Linked DNA regions of Oryza sativa Japonica Group. The protein of the gene in region 2 interacts with the protein of the main gene of each other region in a pairwise test. Links are inferred from orthologs where the notes say so. Each region holds a gene or a part of one and is shown on either strand. Other genes may lie near its edges.

Region 1 (9,745 bases), on a different chromosome or scaffold from region 2:
ACATGCAGTTCACTACACCTCCTTACCATATGTCAACAGCTGAGTATCCATATCAAGCAGCGCACACAGCATATAGTTCATTGCCCTCAGCCAACAATATCTCTATGGCCAACAATCTCTATGGCCAACAATCTCTTTCTGATCATGTTTCGGCTACTGGCTACTATACTGCCCCATATTATGCCGCCCACCAAATTGGCATGCACCCAGTTGATCCTCCAAGATCACACTACTTAGGAACTACATCTGAGAGGTACGCGTTTATGGTTCTAGTACTTCCTGTTTGTCAATTTTATAATGTGTTGGCTGTTTCTCCGAACCGAATTAAATTATGTTTAGCGTGTAGGCCAATGCTGACAACATTGATGTCTCAAAACTATGTTGTTCAGTTACTGGACATAGTTTGAAAAACTTAATGAACTGATACTTGCAGCCTGCAGGCGCAATAGAGAACCATAATTTGCGATTTTGTCTAAAATCTGAAAGAACATTACTTGCAGCTACTTGGAAGTCTTACTTGTTCCTTGCTACTGTCTTCAATTTCAGAATTACCTACGGTACAGAGCATGAGGCGGCCACGACAAACTTGCAACCTATTAGCCATTATGGGTCCATTCCAAGTGGTGCAACCGCAGCACCTGAGGCAGCTGCGACAAACTCAGAACTAGTTTGTAATTCTGGGGCTACTCCAAGTGCTTCAGCAACTGGGGCAGCTATGACAAACTTACAACTCGTTAGGAATTATGGGTCTATGCCAAGCAGTGTGATTGGAGCTGCGGCACATTCATCTGAGGGGAGCCAATTCGAGCAGGCAGCCACTTACATCACTCATGCACCTGGAACCTACTACTGTTATGGAGCTTCCTCGGCGATCTACTCCTACCCAGGGAACACAGCATCCTGTGATGGAAACAATGTGGCTGCTGCTCCGTCAGTATATGCTGTCGCAGCACCACCAGCATACCAGTGATTACTCCATGGCCAACTGATGTTTCTGCTAACAATGTTATTCTCAGACCAAGTGCTGCTGCTTCTTCATCCTCCTGAGCTTCACATATGCCACCGGATGCACTAGCGATCCCGTATCATCGATGGTGGCCATAACCTCCCCATATAATTTTATCATGTAATTTTTGTGCATAAGGTATTAGAGTGATTCGTCTCCTACATGTAGCTTGGCTAGATTGGTGGCATCCTATGTAGCTGCATGTGTGAGCCAAGATTATATGTAAATACTCCTTGTTTATATTATAAGTTGCTTTGACTTATTTAAGTCAAACTTCTTGATAGTACCTTTGATCAAGTTTATAGAAAACTATAGAAATATTTATAGCACCAAATTAATTTTAGTAAATATAACACTGAATATATTTTGATGGCCTTTTGTTTTTATGTTTAAAATATTGCTATATTTTTCTATAAATTTGATCAAAACTAAATAAGTTTGCCGTGGGAAAAAAATCAAAATGAATTATAATATAGTAACTTCTAGGCTTAACTGTTTTGCAAGGACTTTTAGGCTCATAATGAATATGAAGAATCTTGCAGTTTGTAGTTGGGTAGATGCTGATGTGTGGCATATCCGCATATGCAGGGGTTAGCCAGTAAGATCAATGAATCCATAAATTTAGGAAATGGATCGAAATATTCGAAACGGTATACAAATTCATACCCCAACTACTCTTCTTCCTAGTGCCAAGTAATGAAATATACTCCCTCCGTTTCTAAATATTTGACGCCGTTGATTTTTTTAAATATGTTTGACCGTTCGTCTTATTCAAAAAATTTAAGTAATTATTAATTCTTTTCCTATCATTTGATTCATTGTTAAATATACTTTTATGTATACATATAGTTTTACATATTTCACAAAAGTTTTTAAATAAGACGAATGGTCAAACATATGCTAAAAAGTCAATGATGTAAAATATTTAGAAACGGAGGGAGTATGTAATAAGGCATTCTTTTTCAACCGTCTAACATGGATTGAAAGAAACATAATGCCATGTCAAATAAGATACTATCTTTGAACACATCAATGTTACAAGAGTTACAGCAAAGCTACAAAAGCATCATCAAACTGACATAAAAGAGCAAAATGCCTTGGATCCTAACTCATCCTATCAATCGACCAGAATGGTATCACAAGTAAGGAGAATCCATGTGCTGGTCATCTCTCTCATTGCCTAGCATCATCATTGGATGCATACCAGGATCAGGGCGAGGAAATAGCAGCTTCAGGCGAAATGCGTCGACGCCATTCAGATAGTATCTGTACAGCCTCTTTGCTCGGATGAAACCCAAACGACCATATAAGGCGAGGGCGCCCTTGTTCGTAACTTCTGCTTCAAGTGTCACCTGGTTGGAGAGTGAGTCAGATATCAAATAATTCAATTTTTGTACTAATTTCACGAAAGATATTATTGTTATTATGGAAATTGCAGATTAGTCTAGGGCATAATTGAATAATCAATGAAGCAATTTTACACCAAGAAAGTCAAGTGATGGGTACCAAAACGACAATAGGATAATAATAAGTTTTTCATCGGGTGAGAAGATAACAACACAGTGGTGATTACCTCCTCACAGCCAGATTCCATCATTACCCGAATAGATCTCGTAACCAATTCGGTGGCTGTACCATGAAGAAACAGAGGGTTAGCTGATAAAGGCCAACATAGTGTCCATTTAATTGCTTATTACAGATAAAATTAAAAAAGACAAATGGGGACCATTTGCAAAAGCAAAGCACTTGTATACTTCAGGAAAGCTATTCGAACTGAAGCTGGAGCTTTCGCAATACTCTTAACAGATGACAAAGCTACCATATACTCTATTCATACATCGAGAAAGGTCATTCATGTCAGGCAGGATTCAACAATTAAAGCTGTCAAGATCCTTGCTGCGAATGTCATTACAGAAACAACAAAGGCAATGTTTTTCAGATAAACAGACTATCTGTACCATTGTACCAAGATATATGTAAATATCAGTGTGCATTTCATGATAAAAGTATTATGAAAAATGTACTCCCCACACAGGATATATGCATTAGCAAGTCGCACCACACCTATTTATTGCTACATCAATTATAGTCAGCACGCTTCCAAGTGTATGACACTAAGAAGAAATCATCTCATGCAAGAAGTTGATGTAACGATAAGGTTAGGCTGCATACTACAACATCAGATGAAGTGCTAAATGGCTCCAACCATAAAGAACTAATCGACCAAAATGCTCTCATGTGCCACAGACTGAATCGCTGAAGCACCCAACACGAGACATCTGTCACAGGGAAAACTAAACATGGGAATATTGGTTCATAACACAATACCTACTCCTACACAAAACTAGAAAACCACCTAAACAAAGTTAACTAACATTTTATCAAAATAATAGCACAAATCTCAATTGAAACTGATGAGAGAAGATTATATAGTTTAAGAGAAGGGAACAATAGAAGGCTATTGTACCCATAAAAGAAATAAAAAAATGCCTTTCCTTTCTGCAAATCAAGCAGGCAAAGAACAAAGAAATCCTACTAAATACTTAACATGGCATCGTTTTTAGAAAACCAGTAACACTTAGTAAGCTAGTTTTCGTTCCACTCTGCTACACAGACATATTTCACTTGCTGATGTTAAGACAAAAATAATACCATATCAACACAAAGCAACTATTACAGAGAAAAAACAAGTAAATGGTAGTGTGAAAGGATCATGAAACAAATTAGACTTATAAGACCTATAGCTAGTAATTTCTTGACACATGTAAAAGTGATACTCAATTAAGTTTGTGCAAGCATAACAAGGGAAAAACACCTATTTAGTACATATGGATATCATATCGAAATCGATGGAAGATTGTAAATCCGTACTAAATCGCCCACCACTCCACCAGGTGCCAGCCATTTCAGATCGAATTGGAACAAAAACTGAAAAACCCTTTGCTTTCCTCCCAATCAGCAGGATTCTTAAGTTCTTATTTAGATTCATGAGTGGTCTACGCTTCCTTTCAGGACAGACTTGTGCAGATACTATCAAAGGGAAGAATATGCTCCCTTTTGAAACAAACCAGTCAATCAACCAATCAAACAAACAGAGAAACTCTTCTTGGAGAATCGAAGGAGGGCTCACCGATTCCCCTGCCGCGGTAGGGCTTGAGCACGACGAGCATGGCGATGTACCCCCTGAAGGCCCCCCTGTGCTCCCCCATCTTGCACACCACCGTCCCCACGCACTTGCCATCCTTGGGATCGAACGCCTTTTGAGGGGTTGTCCCCCAAATCAAATCAACCAAGAACGCATCAAATCCTCACGAACTCTTGTGAAACACGCGCGCGAGGTGAGGGGAGGAGAGGGCGTACGAGGAAGGTGAGCTGGGGCCAGAGGTAGACGAAGTAGCGGTAGGTGAAGATGGAGTAGGGCTCGCTGAGCTCCTCGTCCACCAGCGACATCACCAGCGGGAGGTGGTGCTCCCCGCCGTAGCTGACGTACGCGATCTCTCCGCCTCCGCCCGAGGGCTCGCCCCGCTCGGTGGCCTCCGCCGCCGCCGCCGACATCGCCGCCGCCGCAGGTCGCCGACGAGGTACTCCTGTTGGGGAGAGGCACTTGAACCCCACGCCCGTTCTACAATCTTGACACGTGGCGTCACCAATCTTAAAGCAATCACACCTAAAGACTGGAACATACTCCTATGTACTCCACGTCTCCCCCAATCTTTAGCGAGGACATGTTTAAGATTATTACTACCAAAATAAACCTTTTTAAAATTTAGTCAAATCAAAATTTTTGGTAAGTTGATAAAATTGTTTAAGTTTTGATATGATGGAATAAATGTGATGTCACCAATTTCCATAAACATTATCAATATTTGGTACTAAACTAAATGCAACCACAAAATTATCGATTTACCATTGTAAATTATGGTGTCAGTGTGAAGCCCTAAATCTGGAAGACAAGAAATATGGGACAAAGGGAGACTATTTATAGTGGAATTCCACAGCAACTTGCATTAAGACTCGGAATCCCGGAGAACACGCGGGGTATTCTCTAGTTATTATATATGACGACATCCTCCTATATCCTACTTTTCTTTCCTCCGCATCAAAAATTTGTATGTGGCATTTTCTCTCAAATGCTGACGTCACACTATTGTCCATTCTCTTACCTTTCCTTTTCACTTTCCTTTTTATTAAAAAAAATAACTACCAGACCTTGCCTATTTGTTATATATATTAAAAAAAGTTATGTACAAACAAGAAAAGAATAAAAGAAATAAAATTATAACCATTGTAACCAAGAAGAATTCAGGGAGCTAAGAGAGTCATTCATCTTGGACAAAGAAAGACTTCCATTCCATGAGTAATATTCTCAAAGATCTTCCTATTTCTTTATTTTCAGATATGCCTGCAATAAACATTTTTCCTTTCTTATGAATCTAATTCTTGCCAAGACCAACATGTGAAAGAGTTCTAGGTTATCATTCATTTTTGTACCAATTCTCTCCCAACAATTTCTGCTGCAAGGACAAGAAAAGAAAAAGTTGTATGGGAGTTTCTTTTTCTGTACTAAAGCAAATCACTCATAAAAGGTCGCATCTTCTTAAGGATAATATTTTCTATCAAGCATATTTCTCGTATTTAGCCTATTACAGAATATGAGCCACATGAAAACCTTTATCTTCGTAACACATCTTATCTTTTTTACCCATAAGAATGGTCTTGGAGGTGTCAACTCCACAAAGTTTAGACTAAAATTTTTGGGAATTAGTATATATAGTTGATTATTACAAATGAAAGACCAAGTACCACTCATACTGAATCAAATTGGTTTCGTCTTTGAATACTTATTAAAAAAAGTATCATCCTAAATCGTTTCAATTTAAATTGCATTCATGGCATCACATTTTCAATCCCAGTTTGCTTCGTACGCACACTAGTACAATAATGATTTTTCCATGCGGTCAAAAGCGGTTTTCGCGTGCGGATCTTTCGCCTGTCTGGAACGAAGTATCTGTGAAAATCCGATTTTTTCGTGCAAGTGAAGCACCCACACGTGAAAATCAAAAGCCGTCTTGGAACCCTAATCCAGCCGCCACCACCGCTGCCGGCCTGCCCGAGGCCCATCGCCGTTGTCCCCGCGGTCGCCGGTGACGGATCCAGACGCCCAAGGCTGGGAGACCGTTGCCGCCACCGCCGCCGTCGCCGCCGCCTTGCCCAAGGCCCACCGCCATCGTCCCCATGGTCGTTGGCGACGGATTCACCCGCCATCAACAAAATTATCACTAATTCTCCAATTAACAAAATGCCCGCTAGTTACACAAAGATTCATGAGCAACCTATGTGCAATACAACAAACCACCAACAGTTTAAAAACACTCCTAATTAATCCTAATGAATCGATCTTGAACAATTCACCTCTCGAGTCTCGGCCATGATCGGATAGACAACAAAACCAAAAGCACATAACATGGGGCAGGACTAATAGAAAGTATGATGGTAAAAATTGCAAAGTGAAGCATGTCAATTTCTACAGGACAATAGGACATATCGTCAATAGAAACCAAGATAAAATAATAATTAGTAGATAGAAGATTTTAGTACATTCATAGCAGCAAACACGCACTATAGTGATCTTTGTTGGTAGACACCATAGGAACGTCAATTTGCTCAAGAATAATTTGCTGCTGGACACTAACACCATTAAACTATTATTTTCATTCGAGCCAGAGAGAGAATTTAACAAAATGGCACTGTTGCCCTCTCTTCTTCACCATGGAGATTGGGGGGGCAGGGGGAGAGGTTTGGAGATTGGGATTGTGTCGTCGGTGGAGGAGGGAGGAGCGGGCGTGGGTCCCGGACAGCCGTTGCTAGAGGTGAGTGTTAGAGTATATGGTAGTTAGAGTCATATTAGGATATGATTGATTTGTGTGGACTCCTTCCATATGTGTAATCCTTCCTTATCTCCTCCCTAAGTACTCTTATATATACCGGTCCCCTGACTCAATACAATAGATCCACGTTATGCAGTATTCCTCTCGTCTCTATGCTATCCAACATGGTATCAGAGCGGGCGACCTAGGACTGCCGCTCACCGCTTCCGCTGCCGTCGCCCCCTAGGGGGCTGCCACCTTTTTTTTTTTACCGTGTTGCTCCCGATCTGCTAGCCACCATAGGCAGCAGGGCCGGTAGCTTCGAGCTGTGCCACATACCGCTACGGGGAACAAGGTCATCCGTGCCATCTGCAGCAGAGACGGCGAAGGGCAGCGCTGGTGGAGCAGAAGACAAGGCACGATTTGTTGAGGTTGTAGCCCATCTTCTCCAGGCATGGGCACACCATGCACTCGACCATCGCCGGTGGCCTTCACACGATGCGAGCGTCTCGCCATCACCTGACGACAGGTGCTCTCTGAGCGTCCGCTTGTTCACCCTCCGCACGTCATAATTCCACCCGTCCTCTTTGCCGCACCACCTTGCTCACCATTTACCACACCTTGAGCCGTGTCAGGTGCATCGTCGCCCACCGGGCATCTCGTCCTCCGTCCTATTGCCCACAGGTGCTACGCAGGGATCTCGTCGTCCTATTGCCGGAAGATGACTGTGAGAATGGGGGAGAAGATAGGGGGTAAAACTAACATTTTGCATGTTTTCTCTCTCATCAATGAGATGTATATTATATTTTAATGCATACGTGTCCTAGGGTAAAATGCCACATTTTTAAAGTGTTATTGGGCAAATTCATGTTTTTGGGGTGTCTGGCAACAAAACTATATATTTTAAATGCCATGTAACAAATTTTGCCATCTTCCTTATGTCCCCTTATGTAGACAACCCTTCAGTTGCTCTTCCTCCTACCTTCCGCAGTCAAAATTTTAAATTTAATTTTAACTTACTATAGTATAATTTATTTTTTAAAAGCTACCAAAATACTACATCGTGACCTCCATTGTAGAGCTAGTGATTCGATAGTGTCCCAATTCAAAGTGACGTAATTTATTTTTTTTTCATGAGGGCACTCATAGCTCAACTCAAGTAGACCAATGCCAAACCCACAGGTCTGTAGTCGCCTTCGGTAAGTGTAAAACTTTCGTAAATCTGCGACACAGTTACAAAGCCACAGCGTGATAGGCTGATAGCTCGTCCAAGTTATTAGCACAAAAACATTATTATTATTATTATTATTATTATTATTATTATTATTATTATTATTATTATTAAATACGAAATGAGCTATGGCCGTGGATTTGCTCGAGACATATCAACGTCCTCCCACACAAAGTAGGAGCACACCGCCCCTCTCGCCGGCGTCCACCTGCCGCACCCGAAGAAGCGCCGCCCCTGCGTCGGCCCCGGCCTCCGCGCCACCCCCACCCTGCTCGCCACGCCGCACTGGCAGTAGTGCACGCGCGCGCCACCGCCGCCGACTCCCGGCGCGGCGGCCGCCGGCGTCGCGGCCGCGCTGGCGCCAATGGCGACCAGCTGCGACGGCGGCCGCGGCGGCGGCGGCAGCGAGCCGGTGATGGCGAGCCTGACCCCTCCTCGCCGGCGCATCAGGAGCGCGAGGAGGCGCGCCGTGTTGCGCGCGTCGTCGAGGCCGCTGTGCGGCCGCCCCTCGAACGCCAGCCCGGCCACGGCGAGCGCCTCCTCCAGTCCGATCCGGCGGGCGCCGCCGCGGTCGAACACCTGCCGGAAGGGGACCTTGAGGTTGATCCACCGGTCGAAGTACTCCGGCTTGCCGTCGCCGATGATCCCCTTGAACCGGCACTCCCCCTCCAGCATGGTGCGGCAGTCCCAGTCGCCCCACGTCACCACGGCGAACCCTCCTCCGCCGCCGCCGCCGCCGGCGGCGTTCTTGACGCCCCTCGCGTCCAGCCACGCGTCGTGCGCGCGCAGCGCCTCGCGGAGGTCCACGCCGGCGTCGACGTCGGCCTGCGCGATGCCGGTGAGCTCCCGGCAGTAATCGGTGAGCTCCCGGTGGTGCAACGGCCGGACGTACGCCCGGAACGCCTCCGCCAGCTGCTCGCCGGTGGCGCCGTCGACGACGACGGAGGCGAACTCGATGATCTCCTGCGGGTATATCCTCCTCCCCCTCTCGCACGTCGCCTCCAAGTCGATGACCACGAAGTAGGCGAACTCCTGGAGCTGGACGCCGGCAACGCCATCGCCTCCGCGCGCCGCCGCGGTATTCATATAGAAACTTCAAGAGAGTGTAAGCTGATCAAGCAGCTACACAAATTACCTTTCGCTCAAAAAATCAAAATTGTTTGGTGTAAATTCACCATCAAGTACGCTGATTTAAGTAAGGATGCTTTCAGATTTTCCCCGGCAATTGCCTGGAAATCTGAAAAGAATCAGGTAGACGAGAATTTTGACCTCGCATCAGCAGCGTTAATTTCTGGTCAAATATCTTTCGGAAACTATGCGCGCGTGACTCAAGAACGACACGGTATGACGCACTTTTTGAGGTCCCCAAACATTTTGAATTCATTTTCTGTACCTTTAGTTTTTAAAAGGAATTTATATATATTCCCTTATGACTCATGACTGCATATGTTCTCTTGCTATTTGCAACTGTCAACAATATCACTAATGATTCGTTTTCACACAACAATATCATGCAGTATACTAGCCGATAATAGATTTTGCTACACTATGATACGGAGGTTAATGTATATACTTTTGCGTCGGTTATACATATTGGCTATACTGAACAAACAATAGAAAGATTTTATGCATACAAGGTCA
Region 2 (9,175 bases):
ATTACCAATCCGTAGTACGCTACATCAACAATTCAACAGCCAGCCAGCCAGTCACTAGATCAGCAAATCTTTCAACACTGTGAAGAAACACTTGTATTCTCCAGTGACTTGTGATTTTTTTTTTTGACAGACATGAGAGTGCCTGAGATTGATCACTCTCTGCAATCAGCAGTTCTAGCCATGTTGAAAGGGATACATAGCCTGTTTGGGGAGCTTTATATTCTAAGAAACAGCTGTTTGATAGTAGGGATAAAAACGGAGCGGATACGGACGGATAATGCTCATACCATATTCGTTTTCATATTTTTTACCGGATACGAAAACGAATACGGATAGCTCGAATGCGGAAACAAATACGGATTATCTCGAATACGAATAAGAATCGAATATGATCGGACACGAATACGGAAACAAATTTTTCTCGGAACACGAAAACCAACTCAACTTCTAATGGAAACAAATATCAACATATATAATTAGCTCATTTTATATAAAATGAGGTATAATTTATAAATATTTTTTAAAATTTAAATAATATTAATAGTATGGACTAGTGTTAAGAAATAAACTACTATTAAAATCTATAAAGTTATATAAAGTTATATTGAAGGTTATAGAGTTAGAAAGAAATGGGGTATGTCTCGTGGGTCCTGCGGATATCCGAATAGCACTGTTCACCGGATATCCGAATTATTATCTGTATCCGACGGAAACCCTAGTACCATATTCGTATTCGTATCCGGGAGAAAATATCCGTATTCGTATCCGTATCCGAACTATCCGAGAATTATCCGATCCGAAAGGTATCCGTATCCGCTTTTGTCCGGAGCGGACGGAAACTATCCGCTCCGTTTTCATCCCTATTTGATAGCCAACTGCTAAGAATATGGAAAAGCTCTGAAACCCAGCTTCTCCAATTTCTGGCTTCTTAGTTCATTTCTCAGAATCTGTAACTACAGATTCTCAGAAGCTGTGGACTGTTTAGAGCAGCTTCTAGCAGAAGCAGCTTTTTTCAGCTGGGAGAAGTTCCCCCAAAGATAGCCACAATCTGATCCAATTCAACTCATTCCTGTAGTATAATTGATACCAGTAGCACTAGTCTTGTGGGTCCTGTTAAGGAGCACTACTGCTACTACTCCTAGTAGATCATAATTATTTGGGGAGAAAATTTTAAGCTGAGTGGCAGCAGCAGCAACAGAGATTCGTGCAATGCATGCACAGCACCGGTGATCTATGATCTAGCCAGGACTATCTGGTCTGATGATAGTGCTGGCAATGGGCCAATAATTGTACTACCACCTGCCAACAATCAGCCAGTCCTGCAGTGGGAGTACTTCTCTTCACATGGCAAGAATCCCGACATCCTTGTACTGATATGACTAACAATTAACAAAGAATTAAGATTTTTCTTTTTGCTAATGAAATCATTTGCAGAATAGCTTCTGTTTGTAAGTAAAGATTAAAGAAAAAAATTGTAAGTCGGTGCCGATCGATAGATAGTTTGGCTTAGGCCCCGTTTAGTTCGCGAAATGAAAATTCTTTGGTGTCACATCGGACGTTTAACCGGATGTCGGAAGGGGTTTTCGGACACGAATGAAAAAAACTAATTTCATAACTTGTATGGAAACCGCGAGACGAATCTTTTGAGCCTAATTAATCCGTCATTAGCACGTGTGGGTTACTGTAGCATTTATGGCTAATCATGAACTAATTAGGCTCAAAAGATTCGTCTCGCAATTTCCCCTAACTGTGCAATTAGTTTTTATTTTTATCTATATTTAATGTTTTATGCATATGTTCAAAGATTCGATGTGATGTTTTTGGAAAAAACTTTCTACAGGTCCTTAGCATTGAGCACGAAGGTCACGTTCCTTTTCTGACGGTATATCTGCGCATTTTTCTTGTTTTTCATTCGTTTTGACTGACCTCTCTGCCATTGGTAGCCTCCAAAACTACTTGGATTCTATTTTCTTACCATGGGTTGAAAAAACCCTTTTTTTTACCCCTAGTTTTGGACATATTACTCAATTGTAGTTGTCATGATGGTGTAAACCGTTCTTTTTACCCCTAGTTTTGGACATGTTACTCCATTCTAGTGTCATGGCAGTGTTTTCTCGCTGATGTAAATGCTACTTTGACATGGGCAGTTAGTTATAAGTATACCTAATTTGAAGATGAAGAATGGCAATCCCTTTTTAAATTACACGGAAGACCGTACACGCACACAAATCACCACATGTGTTCACAAATTTAATCTGATAAGTAAAATTTATACATCCATAACTCTACCGCCACACTTACTACTCCCTCCATATTTTTTGTTTGACGTTGATTAGCTCAAAATTAAACTAACCAACGTCATATATTTATGCATGGATGTAGTACTTAACTGGCATGTAGTAGAAGTTAAGGCTTCTAGCAGAATTGAAGAACAAAACAATGTTACCTGCTCCCTATTATCTGTGTGCAGCCGTCCGATTTAGCCCGGATAACCTTCCGAGGTGATTTTGACCCATCCAAAAAATTGCCTCTTCTGATGGCAGACAGGAAACAAGCCATATCAAATTGGGTCCCTCTCTAGCTTTTCCCTAAAGGGAAAAAAATGCAACATGGAGCACACAGAACAGGAGCGAAAATTCAAAGCTTGCCCAATTAGTGGTGGGCCATGAGATCTTCTCATCATCTTGCAAAAGTGACATCTCGATCTCATCATGGGAGCATTGAACCTTGCACAAGAACTCTTGTCTCTGCCTACTTTCATTTGCTTGTGAATATGCTGTGTTGCTTGCAGGGTTCCCCCCCTGCCCACACGATTTAAGTATTCTTCTTATAAACTCTGGATTTTGTCGTTTTGAGTTTTTAATAGATTCGGGTTGTGACTCCATGCGAAAATTACCCTAGAGAGGCCAATCAGTAGTAGCTGTATTTTACTGCCAATTGGGCGTTCTCTAAAACTATAAATAGGTAGTTGGAAGCAATTGGCAGGGATAGGTTAGGCCTGCTGATTTGCGACATATTTGTTGTGTTTTTATCCCAATTCCTATCAGCGTTGATGGCTGGCACTAAAGCGACATTTTAGTCTTGGAGACCAAACATCGAGACATTGAAAACTACACCCTCGTTCCTTCCTCTCTTTTTTCTCTTTGGCCTTTTATGCTTTTTTATAATCTTTGTGTGCGCATTCTAGATCATGTTTAAACCTATCAAAATTAGATGTATAGGACGCATGCCTCTAGAAGTATCCATTCTAGTGTTCTGGATATAAAGTTTGACTCCGACATCTCCGACACAATGGCGATTTAACCCTGGATTGTGCAAACAGTATACCAGATGGTCAAACAGGGTACAGGGATATAGTGCAATATACCATGTAGTAGAAAAGAAACATTTGAGCAATGGAGTACCCATGGTGCTACAAGTATCGAGTGCTACAACTACCCAGAGGTCAACGAAGTTCAATAGAACAAATGGCCAACCACTTCAGCAGCAGCCCATAGGGGCCAAAATGTTAGGATCGCATCAGGGATTCTAAATCAGGCCCTGGCGCTGCAGATCAGTGTAGGTCTTCTTGTTGTAGATATTTCCCTCCTGATCTTCGTACTCTTCTTCTAGGTCTGGCCGCCACTTGTTCAGCCCTTGTCGTTGTTGAATTTTCTCCCAGAGTTCTTTTGCCTCCTGAAAACAGAAATAAGAGGTGTCAATTGCCCCTTCCATTACCAATTTACCACATTCGCAGCAACAGTAATTTCTGAGAACATGTATAAAAACAGCCAATATGGGAAGATTAAGCAAAGTACTCATTTCTCTCAAATTTCTGAGAGAACAAATTAAGCTATTCAGTGGATGTACAGGTAGCATAAAGTGATGATTTACCTGGATGGATGTGATTTCATTGAAGTTCTTAGTATTAGGAATTCCAAGACAGCGCATCCCGTGCTGATGGCGCCACTCCTTGAAATGCCGCTCATAAGCCCGTCGCCCCCAGTAGCTGTGGTTTCCACATATCTCACATTTGAATTCCTGACAAAAAAATCATAGCAATTAAGATATGTTAACAATTTAAAATCATATGTAAATATCTAGAACTGTATGGGAAAATGATGCCACCAATGCTGAAGCTCAGGGTATTATTGAAAAATGAATAAAAATACAAAAAATAAATGGAGCATGTGAGAATGCAAATACCATTTGTAGTCTATAGAAATTAGCATTCTGTTTTGGCAAAACAGGAATTTTGCAGCTCTAAACATTGGTAATACTAAGATATGATTTAGCAAAACAGCCATGAACTAAATAATCTTTAGATATAAACCAATGAGATATTTACCTGACCAAGACCATGGAGCTTATATAGCCAATAGGGTATAGGTTTGCCGTCCCAACCCATCGGCAACTTAAGAGGATTGTAGATTTGTTGGTCTTCATCATCACTTTCACTATCAGCTTGCACTTCTTCCTATAGAAAAAAATACAAAGGACAAAAGGTTCAGTACTTTGAGTAGAATATTATTATTTTACTTCTGTGAAGTACGGAGAAGAAAATAGAGGAAAAGTAGAACCAAGTTGTGAACTCTTGGACAAAATTAGAAGCGAAGTATCACACTAATAACTAAAATTCTAACTAAACATATCTTTACTCCCTCTGTTAAAAAATGTATGACCCAACATGACCTTTGACCTTTATTCTACTATCAGGGCCTTTTGCAGATCAGAAAACAGAATTTAAGAGGGCTGCATGCAGATTACCTCTTCTCGTTCTGCTTCCATTTCTTCATATGTGAGAGTCAGCTTCTTCTCTGCATTTTCCTTTGTCCGTACAATGATCTGCATAAATAGCATAAGATATATCAAAACATGAGCACAGGTTAACTTCATTATGGACATAAAAATGGTGTATTAAAAATATAGGCACACATTAAATATGGGATATCATGATATCAGCAAACACAGCAATTACAAGTGTTAACCTTGCTATATATTCTTGGTAGTAAGGAACAAAACAGAGTACTTTTTAACTTCTCCTACATGTAATTTAATATGTTTGTTAATTATCTTGTGCACAAAATCTAAGGTTTTCATGACTGCCTAGCAGAACAAGCATCTTGTGAAAAGTTGATGCTCCTGATGCATACTCAGGTGGTTTTGCTTTGCTATTCGTGTATTCCATGCTTAAGTGCCTAGATAACCGTTTTTGTGCCTTTTACAGCACTGGTTATGCAGTACACCACACATGAGAGTGAAATACCATGCTATGGGTGTGTTCGGATGCCCCTTTTCCCAAATCCTCTCCCTCGTTTTCCGCGCGCACGCTTTTCAAACGGCTAAACGGTGTGTTTTTTGCAAAAAGTTTCTATATGAAAGTTGCTTTAAAAAAAATCAAATTAATCCATTTTTTTAAAAAAAAATAGCTAATACTTAATTAATCACACGCTAATGGACCGCTCCGTTTTCCATGCAGAGGGATCCGGTTGGGATCCAGGAATAGCGAACACACCCTATATCAGACTACTAGACTTCTAGCCAATCAAGATAAGAAAGCATCCTGAAGATCTAACAAATTCAAAGGATCATACTATACAGCATGGATTAATAAATCCCAGTAGGTTACACTTATCAAAGCCGAAGTAGAATATATAAAGATTGACTACACAAGTACTCCCTCCGTCCCATAAAAAACCAACCTAGTACCTGATGATGTTGACACATCCTAGTACTACGAATCTGGACAGATATATGTCCAGATTCATAGTACTAGGATATGTCAAAGTCAGGTACTAGGTTGATATTTTGTGGGACAGAGGGAGTAAAAGAGAAGCATGTCATTAGATAATGCAGCTATACAAGTCCATATCAAAGGAAAGATATATACAGCCACACATAGAGCAAGGCAAAGCTGACCTCATCTAGTAGCTCACAAAGGCGCCTCATCTTTACTTCCATTAAAGCAATTTCCTTCTTCAAATTATCCTTGAAATTGTTACCATTAGAAGTAGCATTGGAGACAGAACTGTGTGAACCTTTGGCAAAATGCTTACGATCCAATTGTTCCAAGGGTGTATGCTGCAAGATATAATCATCGACAAGTTCAGAATATTTGGTAAATATTTAAAAAAAGATGAGCTGAATATCCAGGTTTAAAAGTACATTAATTACCTTCAACAAGAAAAGTCGCTCAGCACGCTGTTGAACAGTACCACCACTTTTTAATCCACGAGCAGCTAAAGCCTGGCAAAAACCAAAACCAATCAATAGGGTACAAAAGCCCAACGAAAGTTGAATAATAGGACAGGAAAAAAAAGGTAATAATAACAACGTATTGCAAGTCATACCTCTTTCAACTTTTCTGGGCCCAGCTCAACAAGCTCTTCAACAGTGGTATAGTAATCAAGGTCTATTACTGACTCTTGTGCAGATTCTTTCTCTGGGTCCTTGCTCTCCCATCCAGGCACTTCACCATTGATCCACTGTTCTTCAAACTCGCTTTCCAACTGAACAAAGTGTACTGCTTGTTAGTTTTTACTTGTTGTCTTGTTATTGTGTGAAATGCCTAACTTACATAGGAATGAAGTGTCTACGTGAACATAAAAGTGAAAATAACAGTGAGGAACCCTAGCTAAAAACACTAGAAATAGTTGCTTGAACTCTTAAATAGAATACATTGTCATTACATAGAAGTCAGTAGGATAATAAAACTAAAACATATGATGCTCAAAATTGAAAGTAAAGGGAATAGGAACCTTTGCAAAAATCTTCTCAATGTCTTGCAATGGTTCTGTGTGATACAGAAATGATGTCAGATACTCCAAAATATGCTCCAGGTATTCTCTGTATTGCCTGTCATATTTAAGAAAATTATAAATAAACAACCTTTACATAACTCATATTATTGCATATCTAAAAAAAGAGTACTACATCCAAAACAATGCAGAACGCATGAAACAAATACTAGACAGGATAAAGAAGTAAACTACGATTAATTACGCAAATACTTGAGCACATATAGTCCTATTATTCCAAAATTACGTAAGGTCCTTTCTACCCTAAACCTCCACCAGAAGAAAAAAAAAAGAAAGCAAACAGACCTAAGCAGCATGACATGCACATTCTTAATTCAAAATTCAGGTCAGGGGACATGTTTTTGGTCTAAGCAAAAAATGCATACAGCATACCTGGAGGTTTTCAGATTTTGTGCCATCTTCTCCACATGAGAAAAGGTGCCAACATATGCTGAGTATTCCATTGGAGTTCCAAACTTGGAATTTATGAACTCATTGTAAAGCTCATGCAAGTCCAGGTATCGGCCAAAAGCTTCCTATTAAATTGCAGAACCAAACCATTAGCATACTTGAATTCAGCAATGATAAAATAGTACATAGCAATGACAACCACAGTGGTGGACATGCGATGCGACTCTGGTTGGATTAGAAGTACATTGTGTGCATAGAACCAGGTCAGTAAAGATTTTAACATGAATAGCAAAGAATATTTCTCAAGTTATGGTTCTTGCGCCATAATGGTATCATTGCCTAAATCTTACCATGTATACCACCGAGATCCTACAAGAGGAATCAAACAATCCTGCAGAAATTAAAATACACGTATCACAATGGAGATACCTTCGAGTTCAAGACTACTGCAGTTAAAAGGGGTGGAAGGTGCTGATGGACTTAATGAAGTACAAGGACTCTATCGATCATTTAAATATCTTGGATATGTATGACTATTCAATCAAGGTTAAAAACAAACCTATGTAACGGAGTTACCAACTTCTGTTAAGAGAATTATATATAAACATGCTTTGTATGCCCCCAATCATTTCTAAATACTCAGAGCAAACTGCTTTATTGAAGTGTACAGAGCACACATAGTCAACATAAGTTCACAGGTACTCAGTTTAAACATGGTATACATTATGATGTACCAGTACGAAGATAAACAAAGGCAAGATTACAAGGAAAAAAATGTTACAAGTTAAATACCTCTCCAGTGAATTCAATAGCCGGTTCCTCCTTTAGTAGCTCTTCGAAATCATCAGTTGCACTAACGAAACGGGCAGAAGGATTACGCCTATGGTAATCACGGATCTGCAAACATGAAACAAGTAAACAGATTAGAAGTTAAAACGGAACAAATGCACCAAGAATAGCCCTCCACAAACATGGTTTTGGTTTGGATGGCATGTGTTTACCACAGAGGATAGATGGTCACAGGGCAACAATTAGGAAACAAGCAGGACCAACAAGGTGTGCATAACAGGAAATATAGCCAATATGCAGAGTTGCAGACAGTTCAATAAAGACGACTCTTGGTGAGCGAAATTCTGTTCTACTAATTGTTTTGCTTGTTGACCATTTAAATGTTTGGAAAACAAAGTTTAGCTTGTAAAATCATTTCAGTTATCGGTTAGCCAGATTTTGGTACACAAAACAGACTAAAAGGGACAAAAAAAATAGAAGAGAAGGCGTGTGATGCTCTTTTAGCATGTGAAGTGCACCATAAGTGGTTTATCATTTTCAGCTGTCCTAATTCGATGGCATACCCCCAAATTATATGCATTTATGTGATACAGTCAGGCTAATATGATAGATCATTACCTCTTTGAGCCTGTCATAGAACTTTGGAAAGATTTCAGCTTGCACTGTGGAACTAAGATGGTTGGAGATCTCATCCTTCCTAGCATTATCCTTGTCCTCGTAGATTTCCACCTATGTAAAATGTAGTCACATTAGCAAAAGCAAAATGTAACCGCATAAAAATGACTAATTATGCCATTATGCATCTCTCAGTCGGACAGTCAGACAACATAAACTGAGGCAAAACAAGCAGGGAAACAATCATCTAAGATCACCATGACATTTGCCTTAGACTTTGGCAGGCAAAAGGCCCAAAAATCCATGTGCCTAGCTAGAATTCCCATCTCCAATGAATTAATACGTATAAGCATAGCCAAACCAACAAAAGGAGAATATTATCTTAGAACAACTCTGCAGCCCCGAGTCCACCTTAAGTAGCCCCGATTCAGAGTATATCGCAAAACCTAAGCATCACAGATGCACCGACATGCGAAATCATCAAACCCTAGCTGCAACATAGCTCAGAACGAAACAAAATCTAGTGCATCCATGAGTCAACCGGGAAAACCCTAGGCTGAGGGAAGGGGGGAGGGAGGAGGGGG

The links.
Region 1: the proteins of splicing factor SF3a60 homolog (region 2) and N-alpha-acetyltransferase MAK3 interact in binary tests that used the Arabidopsis thaliana proteins (3 or more experiments, as listed by UniProt). The link is inferred for Oryza sativa Japonica Group from reciprocal best matches to the Arabidopsis thaliana genes ATO and ATMAK3.

The regions. Positions count from the first base shown.
Region 1 is NC_089045.1:21,019,855-21,029,599, forward strand, and holds N-alpha-acetyltransferase MAK3, read right to left. Parts: upstream 4,633-9,745; 5' UTR 4,562-4,632; coding exon 4,367-4,561; intron 4,264-4,366; coding exon 4,137-4,263; intron 2,636-4,136; coding exon 2,580-2,635; intron 2,359-2,579; coding exon 2,143-2,358; 3' UTR 1,987-2,142; downstream 1-1,986. Other genes in the region: uncharacterized protein, read left to right, coding at 1-253, 547-970; uncharacterized protein, read right to left, coding at 8,231-9,190. UniProt on the Arabidopsis thaliana protein: Probably required for N-acetylation of some chloroplast precursor proteins and efficient accumulation of thylakoid multiprotein complexes.
Region 2 is NC_089037.1:29,914,182-29,923,356, forward strand, and holds the end of splicing factor SF3a60 homolog, read right to left. Parts: intron 8,706-9,175; coding exon 8,595-8,705; intron 8,085-8,594; coding exon 7,980-8,084; intron 7,313-7,979; coding exon 7,170-7,312; intron 6,835-7,169; coding exon 6,738-6,834; intron 6,489-6,737; coding exon 6,330-6,488; intron 6,226-6,329; coding exon 6,154-6,225; intron 6,061-6,153; coding exon 5,899-6,060; intron 4,825-5,898; coding exon 4,747-4,824; intron 4,457-4,746; coding exon 4,328-4,456; intron 4,021-4,327; coding exon 3,874-4,020; intron 3,676-3,873; coding exon 3,529-3,675; 3' UTR 3,283-3,528; downstream 1-3,282. UniProt on the Arabidopsis thaliana protein: Splicing factor homolog to SF3a60 that may be involved in pre-spliceosome formation. Is necessary for gametic cell fate determination.